Linked DNA regions of Lonchura striata. The protein of the gene in region 2 interacts with the protein of the main gene of each other region in a biochemical or structural test. Links are inferred from orthologs where the notes say so. Each region holds a gene or a part of one and is shown on either strand. Other genes may lie near its edges.

Region 1 (9,296 bases), on a different chromosome or scaffold from region 2:
AGTAATTTAGCATAGGAGCAAAGCCTCACATGTTGTGCATATAAAATACCACACCACTGCATGTTATAAAATGACACAGCTGTTCTCTGCTCCTCTGGTATCAGGCAGGGCTGTAACTTCCTTATAGTGAACAAAAACCACAAGATCAATTATCACATTTTCCTAGATATCATCTGAAAAGAAGCAGCTGGGAGTATTTCCCCATTTGACATTAGGTGCACAGCCTCCTTTCTTGTGTTCTCCAAATTCAGTGATGCTCAAGATGTGTGTGGAAGGTGTCTCCTTCAGTGCTCTTGCTTACTGAGGCAGAAACTACCTGCAGGTCCCCACAACATTGAGAGGGTACATTTTGTCTTCTAACTTTCGCAAAGGTGCTTGAAGGAAATTAACACAGCTCTGACCTTTGCTAATTGCTCACTTGATTGTGTTTCTCAGTCACACTCTGTAGCTCTCTATCGGCCAAGGACACAGAATACACTGCTAATGTCTGTCCTCCTTCTTTCTCTCCCTCTTCTCCAGACTCTGCAGAGCATTGCTCTCACAAAATTATCCAAGGAAATGTCTGTAGCACCCTGGCAGGAGGAAAGTGCATGAGCCCTTGATGACTTTCTGAGGTCCCTGACAGCCTGTTATTCTGGTTCTTCAATATCTTTCGTGCTTGAATGTGCAGATTTCCACAGCAGCTGAATTTCCTAGAACATGCAGTTCAAGCTAAATGTACCCAGCTGTATATGCAAACAGAGACAAAACAATTTCTATGAACAGATATTCTCAGATGTAACTTCACAGGTAACATTCATTACAATTCACATGAATTATTGAAATCTATGAATGTATGCATTTATGTTCAACTAGATACAGTCTGTGGAACTGTCTTTAGAAGGAGTTGAATTCTTCTTCTGTCATTAGGTGGAATAATGCATAATTCAAGTTTTTGGAAATACTACTTGGTATCACCTGAGCATAATGCTGAGGCTGATAAATTCACTCTGAACAATGGTTCAGAAATGGGAAAGGTTTCAGCCTAATAGTCATTCATTTACTGTCAAAGTCAGACCTATGGAACTGCACACATTTTAGAGAGCATATAACACAAAGGATTCATGACTCTTAGGCAATATACTCTGCTGTGGGACTACTAGACTTTTTTCTGCATTGTCTAAACAAGACTGTGAAGCTTAAATGAGTGTATTTGAACCTCCAGTTCAGTTCTGTTCAGATCACTAACTCTTTTTGACAATTTTATGCAGAAGGCTAAATATTTAACTGAACTCAGTATTAAAATTCAAGCAATGCAGTCATTTGCAATTAGGTTTTTTCTAAGCAATATTGTATCACTTCACATAGCAAAGACTGCTAGAAGAAATAATAAACCAACACTTTTAGTTTGGAACAGTGATAAAATATGTTCTTGCTCTACTAAGTTTCTCACGAAGAAGCTGAATACATAATAGTTTACATCTACCGAAAAAGTATCGTTTACTCTTTATGTACCTCGGGTCATGCAGCCAATACTCTAGAGCCCCTTGTATGTCTTAATTGCAATGTGGATTTACTGCCACTAGATGCTATCCTTCCTCCATTTGTGAAGAGAACTGTCCTCCCTGAATAAACCTGGATCATCCATGGATGTACCGCCCAAAATACAAAACGGGCCCATCGCGATGGAAGCATCTTTGTAAACATGGAAACAACAAAAGCCTCCTCCACACCCCCCACCAAACAAACAAACAAAAAGCCACAAAACCCCCCAAATCAACTAAATCAATCCCCCCAAACCAATGGAAACTTCTCAAAATATTAAAAGAAGAAAAACTGTTGTATCCTGCCAGGTAGCTAGTTCTGGCCAGCAGCTAATAGCAAACATTGAAATGTGACTGTCTTAACTGTAAGAGCTACTGCCCAGAAATGTCCCAATACTGCACAGTCAGAGATAGTCAACTACACATTTGTCATAAAGCCTTGCCTGTGTATTAGAACATATTTAATATTTACCACCCTTTATGGGGGCTGTATGCCTTACAGAAGGCATTCAGTGGCAGCCTTTAATGTTACATGTACCAGTATTTCACTGTCTCCCACACAAAATAAGAATAAACCACTACGACTGTGTTACGCAACCCAGTGACTGACACATAAGTAGAAAATTGTTGATATATTTACCCATTGTAATACCCACAGATGAAGTCCAATCCTCCTCACTGAGACAAATGTTGCCAAATGAAAAGAGATAGGAAAAGGAGAAATTAGATGAACATATTGTGAAAAGAGGAAAAATCTGTTGACGAAAGAAGTCACAATAACTAAAGACTTGCAGACAGGCAAGGCATAAAACAGCAGTGAGATGCCCACAGAATATAATTTCTCTGAAGAGACGTAGCTTCAAAACAGTTATTTCAGTGCTGGGCATGTTTTTAAGCCCAGAAAATTACATCCATCTCAGAGACAAACACTGCAAGCTGGGTCTTTGCCCAGGACTGTTGAACAGGCTGTATGAACAGCATCTTGAGAAGGCTCCGTGCTCCCTTTTTGAAGGGGACCCTGGAGTCAGCTTCACATTGACAGAGAGAACACTACAGTGGGATGTACTGGTTTGTGCCCTTAAAAAGAGACCTGAGACATTGGGCCAAATAACTTATTGTGTCAGCTGAGTTCCTCCACACCCCTTTAATGTGCGTGGCTTTGGACATCATCAGGTGCTGCACAGGAGCACGGTGGGTCCTTGTCACCCGACCTCCCATGAGACAGTAGGCAGGCAGAGGTAAAGCTCTGAGGAGCCAGTGGCTGAAGGGGCAGCATAACTTACTCATCTCTGAAGCTTGTGAAAATATGCCCAGGAAGAATCCATGAAGCTCAGGTTTTCTGAAGTCTGGTCTCAAATCTAACAAAGCTCAATACAAACAGAAAGTTCAAGTCTAATGAATATGTTAGAGTTTTTTTTTTTCCTTGATCTGCATTAATATTCACCTAATGCCAGAAAAATGAAGTAATTTTAATAAAAGATGAACTAAAGATCCCATTTTTTAACATGGGAGCATTTGTTAAAACTCACCTGCTGGTAGGTACAAAATCTTTCACTGCAAATTCTGCTATGAATAAGCGCCTGCTCAGGCATTATATGATCTCATCCTCTGGGTGCACAGTTTAATCACAGTGCTCTCGATAGGGAGCCCACACTAGGGAAGTGGAGTTTAAAATACGAATCTGTAGGAGGCTCTTGAGGTGGCTTCCTGCTAAGTATGGCCAGGAGCAGGGTGATGTGGGGGGAGATGCCACATTAAGAGACCAGCTCCATAAAACTGTCACCAGCAAACCACCACGTGAAAATTTCATGTGCTTTTACTCTGGTGAATTGACCCTGAAATAGTATACAGAAAAAACCCAAATCTTCTGTGTGTCACATTACTTCTCCTTTTTTTTTCCTCTATCAACAAACTCAGCTGTTTAAATGGGTAGCAAAACAACTTAATTCAAGATTACTTAATTTTCCCCTCATCTTTCAGAACTGTTTTAACCTCTCTTCTACTTCTCTCTCAAAAAAAAACCCACATAAAAAACAAACAACCAAAGCAAAAACCAAAACCAACCAACCAAAAAAAAAAAAAAAAAGAAAGAAAGAAAAAAGACACAACAAGCTCTTGTAACAAAATGTCAGCAAAGCATCAGATTAACCTACTTTGCCATTCCACTCCCACAAATGAAAATAGTTGGTGGTCAAAGTCCTGGTAACTGGATTTCCACCATGGAAAAAGTAGTGGTCCACATCTTTGTTACAATATTCTTAGTCTTGTTCAGATGAGACTCCTGTAAATTCCGAGTGACCACTCTCCCCAGACCATCTCATCTCCTTTCTTAGACCACAGTATCTCCCTGTCAGTTCTCCCGAGACACATTATTTTTTTACCACCCATTCCCTTTTCAAAACTTCTCTTTCTCAACTCCCCCTCTTCTTCCTCTTCTTCTCTTGGGCAAACTTAACTTGCTTCTCGAGAACTAACTTGCCTTTCCTTCCTTTCTCACTTCTCAATTTTTGAAGGACTTCTAGCCCCTGCCTCTGCCTCTTTTGATTTCTACTTCACAGACAACTGCAGTGGGGCACTTGCAGTAGGGTAGTCCAGAGAGGGCTTCGTTCACCCCTACGAAAGGAGAGCACTGACCATTGCCTTCATACTCCTCAGACCTTCCTGTCCTCCGAGCTGTCCTCTCGAGGAAGAAAGCACACGTGAACTCCCTCTGGAGAGAACTGAATGCATCAAGGCAGCAGCTCTTTACTATTGCTTGCAGAGAGACACAGAAGGGTAGATTAAATTCAAGCAAGAGCCTGAAACAAATGCTTTCTACCAATGCATGTTAAATAGGTGCTTATGTTTCACGCAGATCCTGATGTACCTAATTAATCCTAATTAAATCTGAGCTGTAAGGGCACCTAAATACACAAATATGCACGCAGACACGAGGAGCCTGGCTCTCACGGTGAAGTGTCGCTTGGCAGGCAGCTGGAGGGGACCCCATCCGCGCCGAGGTGTCCCTCGCCACCAGGGTCTTCCCCCGGCCGGCGGCGCATCCCTTGCACGGCGCTCCCGGCGCCTCCCGACGGTGCGATCCGTCGCGTCTCCCTCCGGGAGTGAGGATCGGCGGGGGCTTTACGGAGTCCTGCAGGGCGTCTAAAACCTGCGTAGGGATGGGGGTGTCTCGCAAACCCGGAACGGGCCGGGAGCCGCCTGAGGAGAGCCGGCAGCACCACAGGCTCGCGTTTTCTCCTGCGACAGCGACAGGAGGGAGGGGACACGGTTATCTCGCCGGGGCTCCCATTGACAGAGGGTTGGGACAAGCCTTAGGAAGATTAGCAGGGGTACAGCACAGCGCCTGCGGCAGAGCGGCAGCGTCCCGCCGCTCGTACACTTCGGGGCAAACAGAGGGCTTTTTCTGCCTGCGGAAAACGAGACGTCCCGGAGAATCCGAGGAGCGAGCTGGAGGGTTGGGGGAGGCAGGACCCCAAGTTTTTATCCCCGCTGGACACTCACCGCGGTGCGCGCCCACGGCGACGGGAGCCCGGCGGGCGCGCACCGGGCGGGGAGAGGCTCCCCGCCGCAACCGGGGAAGGAGGACCGGGCGGGGGGGGAACGGGGGAGGAACGGGGGACGGACGACGACGGGGGACCCTGCGTCAGTGCAGGGCCGTCCCCTTCTCCTCCCCGTGCGCTCGGCTCTGCCTCCCGCCAGCCTCCCACGCCTCCCGCGAGGTGCGGCCGCGCTACATAAACACGGCTCTGCCGCCGGTGCCGGGGCTCTCCGTTCGCAGCCCGACGGAGGAGTTGGTCCGGCAGCGGGCAGAGGAGCGGCCGCGAGGAGCGCAGCGGCAGCGCGGCTCCGGCGCCGGACGGGGCGGGAGGCTCCGGCGGGCAGCCGCGGAGGGCTGCGCGCTCCCCCGAGGGCGGCGGCCCTGCCGTAGCCCAGGCGGCCGGAGGAAGAGGAGGAGGAAGGGCGTGGGCTCCGGCGGGCTCGCTCCGGTATGGCCCTGGCGGACAGCGCCCGCGGGCTGCCCAACGGCGGCGGCGTGTCGCCCGCGGCGGGGAGCGGGGCGCCGGGCAGCGGGGCGGCCGCAGCGGCGACGGGCGGCTGGTCTTCCTTCCCGGAGATCGTGGAGCTGAACGTGGGCGGGCAGGTGTACGTGACGCGGCGCTGCACCGTGGTCTCGGTCCGCGACTCGCTGCTCTGGCGCATGTTCTCGCAGCAGCAGCCCAGCGAGCTGCCCCGGGACAGCAAGGGTCGCTTCTTCCTCGACCGCGACGGCTTCCTCTTCCGCTACATCCTGGACTACCTGCGGGACCTGCAGCTGGTGCTGCCCGAGCACTTCCCCGAGCGCAGCCGCCTCCAGCGGGAGGCTGAGTACTTCCAGCTGCCCGACCTGGCTCGGCGCCTGGCGCAGACTCGGGCGGCCGCCGCCCGCCCCGCCGTCCTGCACCGCGACGGCTCCATCTGCGCCGAGGAGCCGCCGGCCCCGCTCCTCGGCTACCTGGAGGCCGAGCCGCTGGAAGGAGGCGGCGGGGCCGTGGCGTCCGCCCCGTCGCCCACCGCCAGCCGCAGCCCCTCGGGCGGACCGCTGCTCACGCCCTCGCAGTCGCTGGACGGGGCGGGCGGGCGGCGCTCGGGCTACATCACCATCGGCTACCGGGGCTCCTACACCATCGGGCGGGAGGCGCAGGCTGATGCCAAATTCCGGCGGGTGGCCCGCATCACTGTCTGCGGCAAGACGGCGCTGGCCAAAGAGGTGTTCGGGGAGACCTTGAACGAGAGCCGCGACCCCGACCGTCCTCCCGAGCGCTACACTGCCCGCTACTACCTCAAGTTCAACTTCCTCGAGCAAGCCTTCGACCGACTCTCCGAGGCCGGCTTCCGCATGGCCGCCTGCTCCTCCACTGGCACCTGCGCCTTCGGTCCCGAGCAGGGCGGTCCCGCCGATGACAAGATCTGGACCAGCTACACCGAGTATGTTTTCTGCCGGGACTGAGCATCAGCAGCCTGTGGCGTGGGGACAAGACAGCCGGCCCTGCACACCCTCGCACCTACGGTCCCCTCGCATCCTGAAGGAAGGAGGATGTGAAGCGGGGCTGTGTCTCCCTGTGCTTTTCTCACCCCGGTGTCTGCCTCCACGCACAAGGCGGGCCAGCCCCGGCGCAGCCCCCACCCCTCTTGCAGCACCTCCTGACGGCCCCGGGGCAGGAGGTCACTGTGTTGTGCCTCGGCTATCGTGTCCCTGCTTGGCCACCACGTCCCTGATCAGCCACCATATCCTGGCTCCCACCTTCACCCTCCCTCCTGCATCTCCCAGTAGCTGTGTTGGTAGCAAGGAAGGAGAGAAATGTTGGGAGTAGACAAATGCCAGTCCCACAAAAGCATGCATGGTTTTTATCCATCTCCCCACACAGAGCTGAGGTATAGCTCTGGCAGGGTGGGGCATTTAAAAAACCATCCAGTTAGGGGCTGAGAAACTTTAAAGTTGCTTTGAGCAACTTTTGTTAAAGATGGCATGACAAATGCCTGTCTTTTCCCATCCCAATACCCTTATGAGAGAGTTTGCCTTGGTGGGCAGACCCCAAATGGTCCATTTTTAACTCCTCCTTTTCCCACCCATCAAAGTGATGCCTGTCTGTGAAGGACTGTCACATAGAAAGGAAGCCTGACTGTGAGGGGTTTGCACTGGCTCATACTTTATCTGCTAAGATGAGTAATTTTGCAGGAGGCGTGCACGTGGCCCTTCACAACTGGTTGCTCCTATCTCCCCTCTTTGCTCCCCATGTCTCTGAACTCATCTCTGTTAAGCTGGACCAGGGCCTGCACAGAGAACATGTAAGGCTGATGTCAAAGGACAGATTTGACAACCATTTGAACTATGAAGTGTCCTCAGAGACATATGTTTATTCCTTTGAGAGGTAAACAAAAACACTTTGAAAAATTAAAGTTCTTGTGATTTGTAACTTCCATGGGTGGTCTGAAGTCCTTATAATCCTCTTGAAGTTACTGTCTTTAATATGGACAGAAATCTCAATGTGTATTTCCTTAAACACACTCAAAACAATGGGAATGAGGTGAAGCTAGGCTTGCCTGAGTAAAGGTAGGGCTGGGTCCTGGGAAGCTGAAATAATGTACATTGAATTAGTGCAGATGTACATTATAACTGTCATCAAGAGCACCCTTGTTACTTTTTGTCATGTTAGTCCCGTAAAACTCTGAAGCCAACAGATGACAAATATCCCTTTTTAAAGAGTCATTTCCTTAGTTTTCATCGCAGTATTATCTGGGCATTGACACTGCTAAGAGCTGTGTACCTCTTCTCAGGCAAACTTAGTACTTCTTAGAAAGGATTGAGCCCTGTCCTCAGAAAAACAAGGATGATGCCAACTTTCTTCAGGGGAAATTACTTCTGAGCTGTATTTTGTTACTGCTGAATAACAGTCTTTCCCAGAGGAGGCAGTCAGAGTCTGCATTGGAACAGATGATCTGAACCACAGGTTTTATGGAGATTCAGCAGCTCTTTCTAACAAATTATTGATGTCTGGAATATAAAAGCACTTCCCTTTAAAAACCTAAACTTGATCTAAGAATGTGTGTAGCCTGTTCAGACCATCACAGAAAAATACCCTAAATTTATCTGAAGTGTTGAAGAATTTAGCAGTACATATTAAAGGCTTGAAGTTATGTTTTTAAAACTCTTGAACAATAATTCTACTTCTACCTAGTTCTAATTCTAATTCCAAATTTAGAAATACTGATAGCACCTGTATTCTAACCAAAGAATTTCACAGTAGGGCTTTTTTAAAAAACCCTAATTCCTTTGGAAAAGCTATAGCTACATTTCTGTAGAGTTTCAGTGCTCAGTCTCTCTTCACTTGGTCTTTCATTAAGTTCTTTCATTAAGTGCACCGCTACATAAAACTGAAAATAATTTGTGTCACCACGGCTTCTTTTTGCTAATATTAGCGAGGTTGTTTATCAACGTGATTGAATTGAAGATGTGCATATGAAAGCACTGGATACTGTCTATTTGTAGGTAGTTGTATTATGGAGTATTTTTAAAAGGATAGAAATGTAAACCTGCCAAATCAGATGAGCAATAAGATACAGTGAGAGGCCAATACACCTGAGGATGGAATGAAGTCTGTTTGTCCTATGCCTTACTCTGAGATGACTTCTTTGTGCTTAACTTTTACCACAAGGGAAAAGACATTGATCACAGCTACTAGGTCTTTACAGTGCCCTTCTCGAGAGTAATGACTGTCTTTTTCTAGTTTCCGTTAAGTAACTCTGAAGTATGTTTTTTAAGATTTTGTATAAAATCAGTTTTCAGTAAGGTGTTCAAATTTGCTCTAGATAGCTTTCTTTTTTTAAGAATCTGGTAGCTTACTAAATCCATCATAGGAGCTATGAATAGGGGCAGTTTTAAATTGACCTTGTGGTTTAGTGTACATATATATAGAGTGTATTAACATTTTACACAAATCATTTAGTTTTTTTAATAATTTTCGTGTTACAGGATTTCATAATGTATCTACCTGAGCATTTTCACATTATGTTATGTATATAATATGGTAATGTTTTACTGCTTTCTTATACCTATTTCAATGGAAAAACTGAATATGAATATCATCAGCTTGTAGAACTGAAATTGATGACATATTTGCTTGAATGTGAATCTTCTAGGAGGCTGAATGCATCTCTAAAACAAAGATTGCCTGTCTTTTGATTAATAGTTGCCTATCCCTTTCCTGGCAGATGACCCAGTAATTCTCACTTTTT
Region 2 (9,640 bases):
CTTCCTTTAACATTTCCAGACTTCCTTTTGCAGGAGGTCAGGGTTACCTGCCGAGGAATGGACTGTGAGCTTCGGACTTCTCCTGAGCAGAGATGGGGCTGCATGTCTTATAGAAATGGAAAAATTGGAGGATTTCAGTCACAAATTAATGCTTGTTTCTTAGTCCTTCTATGCCTGTATTTATGTTTTTTTTTGTTTTTTTTTTCTTTTCTTAGAAAGCCATCCAGACTATAGACAGGTACCTAATTATCATATTTATTTGAAATTATTGGGTAATGATTTAGATTTTTTTTTCATTTATTCACTCACTAATTTCCTTTCATTTAAAAATTATGAGTCTTCAACATGGGCTAAAACTTACTGGATTTTCACTTCAACAAAAGACAGTACATGAACCTTCCTTCTAAGAAATTAACCACTAAAACCTCTGTATGTGTGGCCTTGTCTGAACCATTATGTTGGGGAATTACTAGAGCTTGCACAAATACCTGGGAACAACAATCATCATTGTACATGCATCAGTCAACATAAATTGGAAATAGTATTTCTTGCTGGCTCTGTTGAAAACAGAGACTCAAAACTGTGTTCAATTTTTGATATATTTATAGGAAGTGGTAAGATACACTGCAAGGGGAAATTCATGTTGGATGATAACACCAGGACTGATGAGATTGTGCTCCTATTTCCTATTTATAAAAACATCGGCACTTACACAGTGATAGTGCTTGGTTGGTAATTTAAAATCTGATGCTCTTTTAACTTCATTTGCCTCTCTTAAGGCCCTTAGATTTGGAGATTAAGTAAGCTGAGCTGTGTCCTGACACCCTGATATAAAGACAGCAATCAAGGTGTCTGGAGAGGCTGTAGGGTAAGGATCATGCAGTTGTGTGTATACTCTTGCAGCTGTGGAGGGTTTTTGGTGGTGTTTGAGAATGCTGTATGCTCTTGTAACAAATATGGAACTTTGGGCTAGGAAGTTAGCTGAGGTAGGTGGGAAAGCCCTTGGGAGGGAGGGAAAAGGTGGATGGGAAAGCTCCCCCTGTTCTGCTGAGGTGCAAGAGCACTGCAGTATTGTTACATTTCTCATTTACAGAGGAAAAACATTATGCCTGTACATGCAGTGCTAAAATTAATATGCCTAGATTAACAGTTTTCATTTTTTTAAATTCCACAATTCACTGATATTTTTATGAACAGACAAAGCCTAATTAGACCAGTCCCTGTCAGCACTGACAGGAATTGCATGGCTCCAGGATTTGCAAAGGTGGCTGGAGACAAAAACAGGGCAGGACTTTCTCAGTGATCTCTCCAAAAGTATTAAGATGAATATACAGGAAAATACATACAGGAAGTGAGTTGCTGGCCTAAGGGGCTGCATGACATATTTTGTGTAGCATCAAACCATCTCCCAGAGTAGGAGAGGACTTGCAACAGATGCAATTTATTTATTAGTGTTAATGGAAAATCAGTTCTCTGAGTTTCTTGACTTTATCCATGGTCTGAAGATACTTGCAACTGAAGAAGTGGTCAAGGGAGTCATACTAGTACAGATGCTTAAATGTGAAGTTAATTAGGTACTCTGATGAGCAAATATAAATATATAAAGAAAAAATTGTTAATTGTGCATAGGCTGTGAGAAGACTTAGAAGTAACTGAGAAATTGGAAGTGTTCATTAGCGGAAAGATATTTGACAGTGTTTTTACAGAAATATGGTTGAAGGATTCACATGATTGAAGCACAGAAATGGCTGGGTAACATGCCAGGAAGAAAGTGACATTTGATTTTCGAGTGAAGAGGTTTTACAGTTCTTGTGAACTGATATTTTAATCAACAAGGAATAAACAGAGGGTGTCTGATGTGGACCACCAAATGAGAATATAATGCCTTTTTGCCTAACAGATAAAGAATGTGTGCTGCTTCAGAGGATTTCATCCTAGGGAATTTATTTTACCAGTTCGATGGTAGCAAAACGTTCTGGGTATTTCTAAGAGGGAAAAAAAAGGCAGCTGAGCCAGTGCCTGTGTCTGACACAATATTTAATAAGCATTTTGGAGCAATTCTCCTTTAGGCCTACTTTTATTTAAAATGAGCTGTTACCTGGGCATCTGTTATTCATAAATGCAGCATAGTACCTAAGAAAGAAGAAATTTCTCAGTGCTGAGAATTGGAAAGAAGCAGGCTTTACAAAATATAACTGTAGCAGAGAATCATGCTGAAAACATATGTGAAGAATGTGAAACTTCCTTGCAAATTACTTAGGTGCCAGAAATAAAGGTTTTTGTGAAATCAGAAGTTGGCTTCAGTGTGTCTATTACACTATGATTTTTAATTACATTATTTTCTTACAATACATCCACTGTTTTTGTGGGGGGAATGGGAGGTGCTTGGGGTTTTTTGTTTGTTTTTGTTTGTTTTTGTTGGGGGGTTTTGATGCTTTTTACAAAAGGTGGAGAAACTGTCATTTTCATGCCTCACTGATACACAGGAAGAATTTTGAGAGGCTTACTTTAACTAATCCTCATTGTTCAATATAGTCTTATTTGCATTCCCATAACCAATCCCTAAACTGAAAAATAAAAGTTATTTTCTTAGTGTGAGGGTTTTTTTTGTTTGTTTGTTTTTGTTTTGTTTTATCTTTTTTTTACCATTAACGAAGAGCATCCTGTTTTACTGACAGGGAATGCAGCAACAAACAGATTAAAGTCAGAAGAACCACTTTGTTAAATACTGTAATTTGAAGTGCAGCTTTGCTTGGTTTAAACGATATCCAGCCATACTCCAGACCTCTGCAGACCTCTCCTAGATGCATTTCTTTGCCCTACCTCTCCAGCACTGGCCTTCCCTGTGCACTGCAGGGACACCAGTGTCAGCTGGTCTCTGCCTCCCACATGAGGGCAAACCTTGAACTTCACACTCAGTGAAGTTTCTGACCTGTACTGGGAAAAGCAAGGAGATGCATTTCAATCTTCAGCTAACAAAAGGACATTTGCTACTGCAGCAGTAGTAAAGAAGGATGTCAGGTGGTTGCTAATAATGTCCAAGGTACTAATTCTGTTGTAACACACAACCTGGCCTCAAGCTTTCTTTCATAAAGACTGAGTTCTCAAAAAGAGAAATTGCTTCCAAAACAACCCCAGCTCTTGGAAAGATGATGACAGTCCAGAGACAATGTGAGTGTGTGTGCTAATAAACTGCCAATATTGTAAAATGATCAAATTGATCCAAGTAGCTGTAGTACTGGTAGCCAAGTACTGGTGAAAATCACAGAATGATACAGTATACAAGCAGTGAAGAAAGATTTTCTGTGAAACTAATTTTGACAAACTTGCATAGCAAGTTGAGAATGGCAAAACATCATTTCGCATATGATATTCTGGTTAAAAATAGCATTACACAAAATCAATATGGCACCTATTTCTGTTGGCATCCTAGGAATGTTCTTGGTGTTATGATAATCAATTTTCTGGAAGAAAATGAGTTGCTGGAAAGTTTGCAGGTGACAAACTGCTGGCCAAATCACTTGTACAAGTAAAGGTCATGGTTTGATTTATTCTAGTGCAAAACCAAATGCACAGGAGTAAGGAGGTAGGTGATGCTTTTAGGCAGTGCCAGCAGGAATTGGGGGCAGAGGGGGCAAGAGCTGGATGTTCGTCTGGCTCTGGTCCAGGGGGTTTTCCAGATGCCTTCTGTCCCACCTGGGTCACCAGAAACTGATGTCTTTGAAGGCTGACCTGGAACAGAGACTAGAGAGAGTTAAATAATAAAGTAGGTATTTATTAGAAGGTCTCAATAGATACACCTTGGGCAGTACAAGAGCCCAGCCAGGGCTACACCCAAGATGAACCAAAATGATCACACAATGGATGTCTCTCACTTTTATAAATTCGGATCCATTATCTTATTGGAGTTTATTGTCCAATTACGGCTTTAGATTACGAAGTCATATCCTTCTTGTTTTTCTCTCTTCAGTCCACTGTTGTTTATGCTTTTGGGACTGAAATTTGGATCATTTGTCCTTGGTCCCCAGAGAGAAAAGGATTATTTTTTTTTACCTACTCTGAGGAGAGCTTACTATTCCCCAATATGAAGCTCAGAACTACACACTAAAGCAGTACAAAATCTGGAAAATACAAAAGCTAAAATCTGAGGCATCAAAAACATGGTGCAGATGATTTCATAAAGAGACATTCCTACAAGGACAACACACTACCTGGTCTTCCTGTAGGGATTAGGTTTCTCAATCTGCCAACCTGCCCAGCCTATGGAACCGGCTGGTACTGAGGGAGGTGCTGAGGTTGCAGCTTCTGGCCCAGTGCAGGCAGGTCACAGGGTTAGAAGGGCCAGTTCAACATCATGTGGAAAAAGGAGAGGTGCATTGGAAGTGCCTCCAGGAATGATTCTTGAGGTGAGGGAAAGTTGGCCTTGTTTTTTACAAAAGCAAGATGTGATTAATCTTAGCCCCTGTGGGTGGGAGAAGATCCCTGACACTACATTCCCTTAAGCCAATAAAGGTATGATGAGAACTGGTGGCTGGAAGTTGGAATAAGACAAATTGATACGGAATATGAAATACACCTTTTAGCAAACTAATTAATAATTGAAATGATTTATCAAGAGAAGTGATGGACTCTTCATTACTGATATCTTAAAGTCAACACTGCTGGATGTCATTCTGCGTGAAAGGCTGTAACGCAACAAATGTTATGAAATTACTGGTTGAGGGCTTTTGGCCCAAGGTCAAATCTTACAATCTTAGAATATATTAATCCATGAAAATTCTTTCCAATTTATTGCAGACATGCTGCCATTGCAGTGTAACATAAACTAGATGTATTAGGTTGATCTTCAAAGGCTTGCTTGGAGTGACCTCAGGAAATTTATGAATATGTATAAAAAGTGAGGTGCCTAAGGCAGGGTTAAGAAAAGTTTTTCATTTTGCCTGTACCCATACAGGTATGGGATCTACCTGAGATGAAACAGATCTGTGAATTGCTGCTCTGGGACTCTGCAGACCACGGACGTGGGTGGGCAGTGTGAACGTGTTCCCTGGGATGGGAGGATAGCCTGGGAGCAACGCAAAAAGCCATGGGCTGTCTATGGGCTATGCCCCACAGCCACTGTGATGTGGTGACAATTACTTGGGAGAACATGTGTGGAAAGGGCTCGCTTCCCACAGACTATTCACAGGGTTGCGACAGCCCTCGGGGAGGCTCAGAGTCCTGCCGCAACCTTATTTTTTTTTATTTGTTTTTGTTTTTTGTAATTTGAGCAGTGTCAGGGTCTCCAAAAACCCGCCAGTTCTGAGGGGAAAAGAAACCGGTTTAAAAAAAAAAAAAGCCCAAAAAAAACCACCAAAAAAACCCACCAAAACCCCACGACTTCTGCTCTAGCGAAACGCCCCGCTCCTGCGTGCCGCAGAGCTGCCGTGGCCCGGGCTGGCTGCGCGTGTGCGTGTGCGGGGTGCCGAGCCCGAGTGGGAGCGTGTTTGCGTGCCGCGTGTGCGCGGGGGAGGGCGGGGAGAGTGCGCGGAGCCCGCCCGCGCCGGGCCGCCCTGCCAGCGGGCTCCGTGCGTGTGCCGGGCGGGTCGCGCGTGGGGACAGCGCCGATGGGCAGCGGCCGCAGCTCGCACCTCCCCGCGCCCACCCGCGCCCGCCTTGGCAGCTCCACCTGGAGAAGGTGCCCGACCCACAGGCAGCGAACGCTGATGCCGTGAAGAGGGAGCGCGGTCCGGCCCCCGCCGCCGCCGCACACTTTGCGCTGCCCGCGGCCGCGCATCCTGCCCGGCGGCTTTGCCCGACCCGCAGGAAGGGCGCAGGCGGCACCTCGCTCCCGCGGCGGGGGCTGCCCCGGCTCCCGCGGAATGCGGCATTAGCACCCCCGCCCGGCTCGGCACCGCTCCCCTTCTCCGCCTCCCCGGCTCTAGAGGGGGGGCTTTTTCCTCTTCGGCGTTTTCTGCCGGAGCATCCCTTTTTTCCCTTTTCACCCTTTTGGAGGAGGAGGAGGAGGAGGGGGAAGGAAGGAAGTGTTCAATGAGGGCTGCTCGGCTACCCCCCCCGCGCCTGAGAGGTGCTGTCCCTCCCTGAGCGGAGAGGGTGGAGAGCTGCCGAGGAGGCAGAGGCAGGTCCCGCTCCCTTGCTGTGCCGCCGGGGAGAGCGGAGGAGGGTGGTGAGGAGAGTGTCTGTGTGTGCGTGGTGGTGGTTATTTATTTATTTATTGCTCCTGGTGGTTGCAGCTGGCAGACCTGGGAAGGAGTAGGCGCCATTGCCAGAAGGATTATTGCCAGGGGAGGGGAGGGGGGGGGGGGAAGAGAGAGGAGACCCCGAGGCTCCCGAGGAAGAGGAGACAGGCAGATCTTTCCCTCCCGCCTTGGCTTCTGCCGCCGGGGGATGCGCCCAGACTGAGAGGGGCTCGGCTCTCTTCCGCCGCTCAGCCCGTTCCCCCACCCTCAGTCCTCCTCCTCCTCCTCCCCATCCAGCAGCATGCATCCCTCTCCGCGGAGACCGGCCGCTGCCACCTCCAACCCTGCCATGCTACTGCTGCTCCTGTGCCTGGGCTGGGCGCCGCCGGGCTGGGGCTGGTCGCGGGGCAGCTCCCGGGGGACGGCCGGGCTGCCCCCCAACGCCACCACGCCGATCTCCATCATGGGCTTGATGCCGGTCAACCAGTCCGAGGAGGAGAGCAGGATCACCCAGGGAGTGCTACCCGCCGTGTATCTGGCCATGGATCAGATCCGCAACGAATCCCTGCTCAACCCCTATTCCCTGGACCTGCGGGTCTACGACACGGAGGTAGGGACCGCCGCGGGCCCCGCGCCGCCGGGCGCAGGGGGAGGCGCCGCCGCCCAGTCCCGGGGCGCTGCGGGTGCAGGGGCGCAAGGGCAGCGCGGACGCCCGGGCCGGGGCTGCGGCTGCCGGCGGGGCCGTGCGCGCCGCCTCCGAGCCGCCTTGCCCGCCCGGCCCCGCGGGCTGCCGGCAGATGTGCAGGGACCGGCGGCGGAGGGGGAGGACGTGGAGCCGGCGGGCCGAATCCTGCCCGCCCGGTATTACCAGGAGCGGCTGCCCCGGCAGCTGGGGCTCGCCCCACCGCCCCAGAAGCGCCCCTGTCCGGGAGTCGCCTGCAGCGCGGGGGTGGGCCCGGACGGGTGCCCGGGCGGCGGGGGCTCTTGTCGGTGGCGGTGGCTGGGATCCGCTGCCCTTGGCACGCACGTACACCGGTGGGAGGAAAGCTGCCTCGCCCAGCGAAGCCGCGGCCGCATCCCTGTGCCAGCCGCCACCCGCTCAGCAACAGATGCACACCGGGCGCTCCGCTCCCCCGCTCCGCCAACGGGCTCACGCCGCCAGCCCGGCTTATCCCATGCGGCGACGGGACGCGGAGGGCAGCGGTCGCAGCCGTAGCTTGAGGAGGAGGAGGGGAGGCTTCGCAGGGGTTCGCCGAGATTCCCCCCGTCCCTGCCCTCCGGCGGGAGCGGCTGAGCGCTCGTCCGGGGGTGCGTGGCAGGCGGGCGGCGGGGCGCGGAGGCGCTCGCTTCTCGGGAAGAACTAAATTTGCAGTGCCGGTTCCTGCGGAGCGCTGCCAGTGCGGCGGGATGCCTGCCCCCGTTCCGGAGCGCTGCCAGCGGCCGGCCGTCAGCGCTGGGAGAGCGGGGAGCCCTGCTGAGCGAGGAAACACGCTCCCTTTACCTGGGAGCGAGAGGCAGGGAGCGGGGCGAGGGCTTTGTGGAGCTGGTTGCCACTACCGCCCGCCCGCAGCTGCCTTTGGTTTTTGTCACAACTTCAGTACCTGTGTGTTTGCGGAGGATAGGCGCGGGTCCGGTACCGGGGCTCCCCTGAAGATGGCAGTCACTTCTTGTGTAATGCTGGCGGTCGGGGTTCGCTTCCAAGACAACCCCCGGTAAAGCAAGTGACTGCTGAAAATCTTGCCGGCTGTAATTTAAGGAAGCCCCTGTGCTCCCTTTAGGTTTCTCAGGTCCGGGGGGAACAAACTGAGAGCAGCAATGACAGGCTGTACTGTATCGTGACAGTGTTTCCGTCCCTAAAATGACTACCAAAGGCCTCTCCTTCCAGGGTGGCTGCTTTTTATTGACATAAATTTGTCATAGTGTTAAAAAAAACAAAAAACAAAAAACAAAAAAAAACACCAACCACTGAGCAGAAATGCATGGAGGGCAATACTGCTGAAGATGTCACTTAGGAAGGAGCAGGCTGCCATCCTGTTGTGTTGTGTGAACAAGACTAGATACTGACAGGGAATACAGGCAAGATCAACCTAGAGTAGCTGCTTGTTTCTTTAAAAAGATGAATCTCAGGGAACTCTGCAATTGTAATGAAAAGAATTATGGGGGATTTTCTGAATGGCATTACCTGTCTCATAAAGTGAGATGCATGTCAGGAAAAAATTCACAGGTTTCCTAATCCTGTTTTCATTACGTTAATCTATATTAGTTTTTCCTGTGGATAGAATTATTAAAAAAATAGGCATAGGAATTAGAGAAGCCTAGGCAGGATGTCCCTTCTTCTTACAGTAATATCTTAATAAAGAAGGTGCTGCACTTTATTGCAGTCAAAATATTGTGGCACTCTTCATAGAGATTTTGGGTTCTGAACTAGGTAGTTATCATAAAAATATTCAGGAAAAAAATTACCCTATTTGTTCTGGAATGAGTATCAGTTTCTTTAAAATTTTACTGTTAGTACTCCAGGGACATAAGAAATCAGGGTCATGTTGCTACCTTGCTGTGTTGCTTTAAATGCTTTTAAGAAATTAATAAATGCATGGTTATGGAATGCTAATTCAGGTGACCGTACATGTTTAGAGTACAGTTGGGTCATTATTGCATGCTTAATAGTGACAAGTAAATAAGTTAGTGTCCATAAAGAGTGCTAGATTGACTGCACCCAACAGAATGGACGAATGCCTGGAATAGCCATTAAATACCTAATGGCAGCACAAACTTTTTCAGTCGGTTCAGACATTACCCTTTTCCTTCAGTGCACTTACGATAAGCAGGAGGGTAGCTGGCTCATCATGCCCACTTGATTCTCAGCCTATTTTCTGAGACTGCCAATAAATAGCTATGCCTGAAGGGCCTGGATCCTTATCATTGCATAATCAGAGACCAGGGAGTAGTTCTCCCTCTCAGGGCTTCACAGGTGGTGCTTGTGACATTGTTGGCTCTTGAAAGAGAGAATGTAGAGCCTTGAACACATAGGATTTTTTAATAGCTTGAGAAATAATTGTAGTATATTTATAATGCTTAGGAAATGCATGGCAGTGATTTACTAATTCAGGTATTCTCCCTTGTGTCTCCAAAATCCGTCTTTGTTGCAGTCTGATCCTTGTATTGTAATTTTTTGTAATACTTTAAGTGCTTGTGAAAAACAATAATGAAAATAAACTAGATTGGTTTTTTTTGTTTTTTATTATGAGTTCAGGTTCATTCTGTCAGGATTGAACTGAATATTCTATCTGGCTTGATAGTTCTGGTTTGTATAAGGAAGCATCATAATGTCTTTACTTTCTGACCATAACATATGAAGAACTGCAGCGTGCCTTCTAAGGTGAACTGTTGTTTGTCAGCACTTGAACTCGTTAACCTTTGAGGACATGAGCAGCAGCTCGAGTGATTTTCAAAGCATTTAA

The links.
Region 1: the proteins of GABBR2 (region 2) and KCTD12 form a complex in vitro, tested with the Homo sapiens proteins (2 studies listed by BioGRID). The link is inferred for Lonchura striata from reciprocal best matches to the Homo sapiens genes GABBR2 and KCTD12.

The regions. Positions count from the first base shown.
Region 1 is NC_134604.1:49,126,249-49,135,544, forward strand, and holds the start of KCTD12 (BTB/POZ domain-containing protein KCTD12), read left to right. Parts: upstream 1-5,511; coding exon 5,512-6,510; 3' UTR 6,511-9,296. UniProt on the Homo sapiens protein: Auxiliary subunit of GABA-B receptors that determine the pharmacology and kinetics of the receptor response. Increases agonist potency and markedly alter the G-protein signaling of the receptors by accelerating onset and promoting desensitization.
Region 2 is NC_134603.1:62,278,465-62,288,104, reverse strand, and holds the start of GABBR2 (gamma-aminobutyric acid type B receptor subunit 2), read left to right. Parts: upstream 1-5,583; 5' UTR 5,584-5,606; coding exon 5,607-5,677; intron 5,678-6,479; coding exon 6,480-6,789; intron 6,790-9,640. UniProt on the Homo sapiens protein: Component of a heterodimeric G-protein coupled receptor for GABA, formed by GABBR1 and GABBR2. Within the heterodimeric GABA receptor, only GABBR1 seems to bind agonists, while GABBR2 mediates coupling to G proteins.